2 linked regions of the Coturnix japonica genome follow. The protein of the gene in region 2 interacts with the protein of the main gene of each other region in a biochemical or structural test. Links are inferred from orthologs where the notes say so. Each region holds a gene or a part of one and is shown on either strand. Other genes may lie near its edges.

What was found.
Region 1: the proteins of CDC27 (region 2) and PTTG1 form a complex in vitro, tested with the Homo sapiens proteins (3 studies listed by BioGRID). The link is inferred for Coturnix japonica from reciprocal best matches to the Homo sapiens genes CDC27 and PTTG1.

The regions. Positions count from the first base shown.
Region 1 is NC_029528.1:9,901,527-9,906,052, reverse strand, and holds PTTG1 (securin), read left to right. Parts: upstream 1-1,701; 5' UTR 1,702-1,821; intron 1,822-2,064; 5' UTR 2,065-2,085; coding exon 2,086-2,167; intron 2,168-2,449; coding exon 2,450-2,625; intron 2,626-2,968; coding exon 2,969-3,062; intron 3,063-3,522; coding exon 3,523-3,672; intron 3,673-4,004; coding exon 4,005-4,084; 3' UTR 4,085-4,155; downstream 4,156-4,526. Other genes in the region: pre-mRNA-splicing factor SLU7, read right to left, coding at 192-272, 983-1,136, 1,282-1,445. UniProt on the Homo sapiens protein: Regulatory protein, which plays a central role in chromosome stability, in the p53/TP53 pathway, and DNA repair. Probably acts by blocking the action of key proteins.
Region 2 is NC_029542.1:2,284,384-2,288,850, forward strand, and holds the start of CDC27 (cell division cycle protein 27 homolog), read left to right. Parts: upstream 1-1,480; 5' UTR 1,481-1,711; coding exon 1,712-1,738; intron 1,739-4,467. UniProt on the Homo sapiens protein: Component of the anaphase promoting complex/cyclosome (APC/C), a cell cycle-regulated E3 ubiquitin ligase that controls progression through mitosis and the G1 phase of the cell cycle.

The DNA of each region.
Region 1 (4,526 bases), on a different chromosome or scaffold from region 2:
CATCAGTAGAGCTCTTGTAAAGCCAGTTAAGCTTAGCATGATAAGCCATCTGACTTGTAAATAAATTCAAGAAGTTCAGTTCTGTATTTCAAAATAACTAAGTAACTGTTGTTTTACCTATAGGGTAGGCGTTTTTCACTAAATTCACGTTTACTTCTGAACCATTAAAATATCAACAGTGTCAAGCTTACCTCCATACAGTCCTTCTTTTTGTGTGTCAGTGCACCACAGTTCTCACAAGCTCCTTTCCGGTATCGGGTAGCTATAGAGTGCTAAACAACAAAAGAAGACAGCGTTAAACATTAAACAAACACATGCTAAGATTCATCTGTGTATTTCTCCCAGCTGACTTATTTACTTTTCTAACACAACTAAAGCACACATGCTCCAACCAAACTCAAAAGGCCATTTAGGTGACTACCAAACACTGGGTAATGAATCATAGAATCATAGTATCACCAAGGTTGGAAAAGACCTAAAAGATCATCCAGTCCAACCGTTCACCTATTACTAATAGCTCCCACTAAACCATGTCCCTCAACACAACATCTTCCCTTGAACACTCCCAGGGTCGGTGATTCCACCACCTCCCTGGGCAGTGCATTCCAGTGCCTGACCACCCTTCCTGAGAAGTAATACTTCCAAATGTCCAGCCTGAATCTCCCCTGCTGTAGCTTGAAACTATTCCCTCTGGTCCTATCACTAATGACACGAGAGAAGAGGCCGACCCCCAGCTCACTACAACCTCCCAACATAACTCAGGAAGTTATGGAGAGCAATGAGGTCCCCCCTGAGCCTCCTCTTCTCCAGGCTGAACATACCCAGCTCCTTCAGCCTCTCCTCATCTGCTTGCTGTGTACAAATTTCCAGTTCCTGTCACCCTCCAAAGCATATAACCAGATCTTGCAGGGTGTCACTGACTTATATCTTATTGCATAGGAATAATTAAAAGCTTTGTTTTAGGACAAAAGCATCCCCATACCTCTTTCACTCCCCGTTTGTACCAGTCTCCTGAGGAGCTGTACTGCTTCTGCTTCTCTGGCTGAGGCCTCTGATGCTTTAGCGTAGGTCTTTTGGAAGGATCTATGTACCACGGGACCGAAGATATGTACTGAGGAATGTGAGGGTTGATATCTCTGTAAAAGGAGATATGAAATTAATACACGGCACAGGAAAAACCACCGCACAATTTAGCTTAATTAACCTCATGTTAAGCTCAGCTTCACAACTCTGTAACCACATAAGCCTACTTTACAAACCGAGCTGTGTTACAGAACTTACTTTCCTTCCTCATCCACCTCAGCAGGCGCGTTCCCCAGCTTCCTCTGCTCCTCCAGCTCCTTCTTTTTCCTCCAATCCTCCCTCGTCATCTTCTTCGGCTCCTCCATACTCACATCTCCCGGCCCTCCCGAAGGAGCCGCGTTTACCGCCGTCCCAGACGCCATTTTACTTCCTCCTAAAACACTAAAAAACCGCACGCGTTCCGAACCGAACCGATCCCACGAGCCTCCCCCCGGTTACCCCTCATAGCCCAGAGCCTCCACCCAGCCATACCGGGCACAACGACCACCCAACACCCCAGCAAAGCCCACCCGGTCCCGCACCTCCACTCCCTGTTTACCAACTAGGCCGCACCGAGACCCCGCCCCTTGACTGCCAGGGCAACGAGGAGCCGGAACTCGGTAGTCACCAATGGGGCGGCTGAGCGTTAATCGAAAGCGGCCTATGGGAGCAGCGGGGCGGGTGTAGAGGCTGGTTGTGCTTATCGCTATCCCTGCTCTTCTCCTCGCTCTGCTGCTCCCAAATCGGCTTTTCCCGCAGGTAAGTGTGCTGTTTTTCCTCCATGTTTTCTTTCTGGCCTGTTGAGCGATCCTTCTGCCCTAAAGAAGGGCGGGCCTGCGAGGCGTTGCTTGGCCGCCCAGTGCACGGTGCCGTGTTATCAACCGCCATATCTAATACTGGCCCTGTGCTCAGTCCAAGCTGCCATCATCATTCCTAGCATACATCAAAAACTTGCTGTTTCTATTAGCAAGAACTGCCAAGATCTTCTGTCTGCCTTTCCAGGGTGGTCTCATCAGCCCAGAGATGACGACGCTGATCTTTGTGGATAAGGAGGATGGTGAAGTTGGTGCTACTAAGAACCAGTTAAGACGCCCTTCGGTATCATGTGAGTATATGCTCCATGGAGACAGCGTGGGATGGAGTAAAGTGCGTGTCCTGGGTTTTGTTAATCACTGTTTTGAACAGGAACAACAAAATGGGTTAAGCAGATAAATAGTAAAACTAAGTTTATCAGCTATTACAAATATGAAAATCACCTGTCTTTTGAGCTTATACTTTTGATCTAGAAGTGGAGAACAACAATTAGCTTTCTAGCACACACACTTCATTAGAAGCAAGCTTTAGGGTTGACAAGGTGCTAAAGCTTGCTTTCCTTTCCTGTCTGCAGCAAAAGCCTTATCAGAAAGAACACAAGTCAATACTCCACTTCTAAAAAAAGCAATCAGAACTCCAGCCACATCTCACTCTGTCAGAAAGGCTCTTGGAAATGTGAACAGAACTGTAGGAGTTACAAGCAAGAAGGAACAGAAGAAAGATAAAAATCAGCCTTGCAGTGCAAAGAAAGTGAGTACAACCCTTCTGTAATGGATGGGAATCAGAGGAATGCATGATGTACCTACAACAGCTTAGGGAACACACAAGGGCAATGAAGTAACTCTAGACAAAATATTGGCTGTGTTACTGTCTTGTTCATATTCTATTTAGTGGGAGTTTATTGTTATGAGCCTAAATATCATACTGCAGAGATTTGTTGCCACTGTGTACCATCATACAAGTTCAACTGAAGCATTTTCCCTTTTGCAGCTTATTTGTATCAAAGGTGTTAAAATCCAGGTTTACAGGCACAGAAAGGGTACTACACTGAGAAAACACGACAGCACAAATAACTTGACTTCTTCATTTTAAGGTTGCTGAAAAGGCTGTTGGATTAGCAAGCTGGGATGGAGGGGGTGATGAAGCTTACCCAGAAATAGAAAACATGTTTCCTTTTGATCCTCAAGGTAAGAACTCTTGGGGTAATTATTAAAACCTAATTGGACTTTGATTAAGTGTTGATGCTGCAAGACTTCCACTGAGCTGTTGTGGTGACTAAGCTGGTATTACATTTCTCCAGAGTCCTTTCTTAAACATAAGGGCATTCAATATTTTGGAAGCATGACCTTGTTCTTGTTTGAGTGTTTTAAATATACGTATTGCTTGATATAGTTGACACAGCATAGGGATTAGAAAAATTCCTTAAAACTCTTGCTTTATAATGACTGTTACATACACTTCAGATAAGCATTAGCATACAAAATTGCATGGACACTAATAAGTAACTGTAACTAAGCACTCCATAAGAAGGAACTGTTGGACTGAGTTGTCCTGGAACTACTCCCATTTCACTTAATCAAGGACAACTTGCAGCTTCACATGCTATTGTGCGCTGTTACTAAACTACAGCGTGTCTTTCCTAAACAGACTTTGAGAGTTTTGATGTTACTGAAGAGGATAAACTAAGTGATATCAAGCTGCGTGGTGTTCCTCTCATGATATTCCCAAGTACTTATGACAAACCTGTGGACCTAGCTTCTTCACCTATAAAGCTTGAAAAGATGCCATGGGAGTCTGGTAAGTGGAAAATTAGCCTGAGGTTCAGCGCATATTAGTGATTTAGGAAGGAAGTGAGTTTGTTGCAGTAGTGAACAACTATTGCTCTTGTAAGTGCAAGAGCAGGATGCTTATCTCAAAGAGCACTCTGTATGTAACTGAGCTGAATTTAACTGGTCATCTCTACTGGCATGGGTAGTGGTCTCGAAGCTGCACTGCCATGTAACTTTCTGTAATATATTTCTAACTCATCATAGCCATTCAAGAGGCTTATGCTAATCCACCAGCAGCCAGCTGGAGTGTAAACTTCTGGATTTTATGAGTAATTGATCTCCTCTATTTCTAACTTTCAGACTTGCTAGAACCACCTGCTGACTTCATCTCTACGCTGGATTACGTCATTGATATGCCGCCTATGGACTATGACTTCTAAAAAGCATACTCTGAAGTTTCTGTTGAATTTTATGTTTATAAATAAAGGTTACTTTAACTTGTGAAATAAAACTTACCTTGCTTTTTCTTTCAGTAGAGCTAATATGCTGCACACCCAAGATGTAGGCATTTTACTATCTGACAGGCTATTAAAACAAAACTTAGTCTTGCTTAAAAGCTCATCTATAATTCAGTGTTCTGAACTGTATCCAGATATTAATATATGAATCTTCAAGTCACAAGTATAGATTCAATTTCTTAGCACTGTTATTGTTCTAGTTCTTTTCAGTAATCATGGAAAACAAGTGAGGTTTAGAGGTGGCATTATTCATAGTTGCCTGCTGTTACCACAGTGGATAAAAGTTGGTTTGAGGTGCTTAATGAAAGCTGGAATATGGGGGCCCTCACTACAAGAAAGACAGGCCCTAGTGCACAGTCAGAGA
Region 2 (4,467 bases):
CCATGCTGTGCTCTGGGGATCTGCTCTGTCTCTCCAAGGCAATAAGTAGATTCAGACAGAGGCAGGTTGGAATGATGTGTACAGGAGCAGCACATACCTCTATTCTGCACTGCTGTACTCCTCTGTGCTCCCTGCATTGAGCTCGGGGTGCTGAGGGGTGGCTTCAGTCCCATTTACACAGAGCATCCACTGACCTCATCCATAGAACTGCATGGCTACAGCAGATGGAGATGTCCCAGGACAAGAGTTCAGGCTGTTGCCCTTTCACAGTTCAAACACTTCACTGGAAGCCCAAGAAGTAAGAAAAATAACCTCCCACTTTAGGGAGAGCCTGTTGCTGTATCTCCTCAGCCTGAGATAAGGCAGAGGTTCATACCAAAGATGGCCTGGGTGTCAGGAGAAGCCTGTGTGCAACAGGGAGCAGACGGAGCTTCCACCCCAGGAGCTTCATCACGCAGAGGGGCAGAGATTGGGGTGAGGATGATGATAACAGAGCGGGCTCTGATGCACACACACTCACGTCTGCACATTCCACCATCACTTATGGGAAGGTTCTGCTGCTCCTGGGGCAAAACGGCTCAGCAGTTGGATCCTTATGGGTCCCTTCCAACATGGGGTTTTCTATGATGCTGTGAAAGCAACCCGGTTGGGAGCCAGGTGTCCATCATTGCCATTCATTGGTGGTGAATCCAGATGGCGGCTGCTCAGCGGTTGTGTTCCACAGGGGTCGGTGCTGGCTCTGTCCTGCTCAGTCCCTTCATTTCTGACCTGGATGGGGGCATTGGAACAGGAACAGGCTGTGGATGCCCCATCCCTGCAGGCATTCAAGGCCAGGCTGGATGTGGCTCTGGGCAGCCTGGGCTGCTGGTTGGTGACCCTGCACATAGCAGGGGGGTGGAAATGGATGAGCACTGTGGTCCTTTGTCACAGGGACACCAGGTTTTCCACAGAGGCAAGGAAAGCTCTCCACAATCAAAGCTCCAACCTTTAAAACCTGACCCCCACACCCCCCCCCCAAAAAAAAAAAAAAAAACCCCAAAAAACCCGCTGAGCTCCAGTTAATGATCTGTGGGTCGTTAAAAAACGACTTTTTATGGTTTTATGGCAGATAAATGGATGGATTTACCACAGAGATGTGGGCCAGCGCCCTCTGTGCTCTGTGGGGGGGAACCAGGCCCCTCACCCACCACCGAGGGACGCTGAGGCTTCTTGAGTAACCCTGAAGTCCCATTTTTTGCTTAAAAAACAAAAACAAAAAGCAGTTTGTTATTATTTCGTGTTGGTACAAAGCTGTTTTCAGGCCCCCAAGCGGCCTCCAACCCCCAGATCCTGAGGGGCAACACCGCCTGCCCCGCCTCAGCGCTCGGCTCTTTCCGTCCGCACTCGGGTGTTTCCGCCAGCTGAGTCGCTTCCGTTCGGCAGCCGAGAGGGCTGTTTTCCGTCAGCGTTCGGCTCTTTCCGCCCACCTCTTCGGGTGTTTCCGGCAGTGGGTTCGGCTATTTCCGCCGGTTGCTTCGGGCGGACTCGGCTCTTGGCCCACCTCGTTCCTTCCCTCCCCGCCGCCCGCCCCGGTAACGGTCGCTGCGAGTTTAAATGAGCGGGGGCCGGGCCGCACCGCGCCGCCGCCGGGACACGCAGTGAGGCGGGGCCGGGGCCGCCCCGCTCCGGGTTTGGCGAGGAGGAGGAGCAGGAGGAGGCCGAGGGGAGCAGGATGACGGTGCTACAGGAACCCGTCCAGGTACCGACCCCCAGGCGGACGGGCTCGGGCTGCCGCCGCGCTCAGGCCCCGAGGCCCGGTCCCGGCCTAGCTCGGAGCGGCGCCGCCCGCTCTATAGGGCCATGTCTGTAGGCCGATAAGGGCCCTGTCCGCTCGGGGGCTGCTCTCGGTGTCCGTTCCTCGGTAGCTGGGCCCTGTGGCAGCTCTATGGCCCCTCCCGTGGGCTCTCAGCAGCCCCCTGCGCCTCGCAGACCAACCCCTCACCCCCCTGATCCCTCCCGGTCTCCCCGTCGCTGTGCAGGCAGCACAAGGCCGCTCTGCTCCCCGCAGCTCCCCGGGGAGACCTGTTGAACCGTCCCGCTCACCTCTTTGCTGTTGTCTCGTTTCGATACGTGCTCGGTTCCCTACGTGTTGTGCCGGTGTGAAGGACGTGCCTTGTTCCCTGTGGATGTGTCTCAGAGTTTGTATCTCTGCTCTGGGAGAGAAAACAACATAATTGTGTTTTTCTACCTTCATGTCCTACCTTGATGGGCTTCCTGCTCGTTCTCAATCATCCCATTGCAAAGATATGATTTACAGGATAAGAGCTGCCTGTTTCTTCCTACCTTTCCCCTTATGTGCATCACTCTAATTGTGTGATTTTCTGCTAATCCCATTCATGTTCTCTTTTTAGCTTCTCAGTGTATTTATTCTCCTTGTTACGTTTGGAGCTGTAGGCATCTTGGTGCTACAGAAATGCTTGGTGAACAGTCTGGCTTTGATTCTTTCTTTAAGGAAAAGAGGATGAGGAAGGAAGGACTTCTCCTGTGGAAGACCACCACCCTGCTGGCCTGACCTTGTGTGAGATGGTGGCAGCCACAGTGCTCGCATAGAGCAGGGCCTTGTGTTTGTGATGCTGCTGTTCTGTTCCTCTGAGTGTGGGACGATGTGTTGGTAGGAATGAGTTTTCTGTTGGGTCTTCAGTGGTGTTACCCGTGCACTGCTGCAACCTTTGTATTTGTGATGCTATTTTAGCAGCTGGGTCTTCTAGGAAAACATGGGGTTGTGTTAGAAAAGGGAGCAAGAATGCATTTCAAAGGGAATGACAGGAAACAATACTTAATGTTTCCACTACTCTGCTAATTAGACTAAGCTAGAAGAAAGTATTTGCTGTTCTAAAAGTTCCCTGGTAGAAATGCATGATAAAGACCTGTCTAATACTGTTCTCAAGCTTTTATCTGCTTGTGAGTTTTGGTAGGGTTTTGCTATAGTGAATGTCCCTATTTAGACTCTTCACATGCCAAATAACTCTTTAGTTAGTAATTCTGCTGCTGTTCCCTGCTTACAGCAATGCTGATAAGTTTAGGATTTGTTACTTGTTGTGGCCTTGGCTGGACTGTTGGTTTTTAAGGTAGAAAAGTTGCCAGTGCAGCCATCCAGATTAAGGCTGGCATTTGGTCCTGCCTGGATCTGCTGTTACAGGGCACAGCTGGGAGCTCTGTGCTGCAGAAGCTTTCTGTATCAGCTCACTCTTCTTTTTGCCCTGACACCGTGTCTCCAATCATCAGACTCCATTTTGCAGTACACAGCTTGAATGAAGTTAAACTGTGCTTTTGAGTTCCTCTTCTAGCTGGACTCTGTGCATTTATCTCTGATTTTCTATTTATTTGTGCTTTTTTTTTATAGTATGCATGAAATAAGCAGACATTACTTTTCACTTTGTAACTGCAGAGATGTTCTGTTTGTCATTTCATCACCAGCTCCTACAAGGCTGATATTCCAAACTCATCTTTGTAGGCAAGATACACAAAGTCTGACAGATAAATGCTGGAAATCTCTGCTTCTATGTTGCCTTAAAAGTGTAATCTTTTAATTATCTAATAAGTTATGTCCTAAAAGACATCAAGATGACCGGTTAGATTTCTTCTGGCTCATTAAATGTCACAACCTCTGGTGCTTTGACTCATTTTATGTAGACAACAGAGCACTGTTGTACTTCTTGACGTGGTCAGCTTAAAACTCTTCAGCTCAGATGTAAGGCCTTGTATCTTGTGTACATTTGGGTGCCTTCCAAATAGCTCTGAAAAACATCATGGAAATAAAGTGAAGGCTTTCCTTGGAGTTCAGCTTTTCAAGGTGATCATCTGCCGTGACCCACATGAATGATGCTTGAACTCCAAGGCTGCTGCCATGGCTGGAAGCATCCAGTACCACTACGTGTCTGATTACTTACCAGAGCCTCTATAGCTAGCAAATATAGTGGAGTCTGTCACTGGAAACTCTCTTCCCCTCTCCTCACCTTGAACAAATGTTAAAATGTGCTATAAGTGATTGCTTAGCATGTCACTACATTATTAAGCTTGAGAAGTAATTCCCAAGGCTGTGTAACTGTCAGAAGTGTGGGCTTATCCTTTGAGATTTGGGGGTTAGATATGAAGTGATGCTTGGATGGTGCCCAGGATCTTCTAGGTTGAGAATAGACATGTGTGAATTGGCTTTTATTTGCTTGCTTTTGACTCTGAGGATGCTTTGCCATAGAGCTGTAGCTGGTGTGGTAGTTTTGGGATTCCCTGTTTGCTCTGCATTTACAAATGGATGTGTGTATTCAGGAGGCTGGATGATGAGAGCCTGGACACTTAACCTCTTCTGGAAGCATGGTAAAACTCTGCAGCACATGAAGCTTCTCTCCTGTCTGTATTTGTTTGCTGCTCAGAGAGCGGACATGACAGCTACAGTGCATCAGCTGCTTATCATACACTCAAGGAGATGAC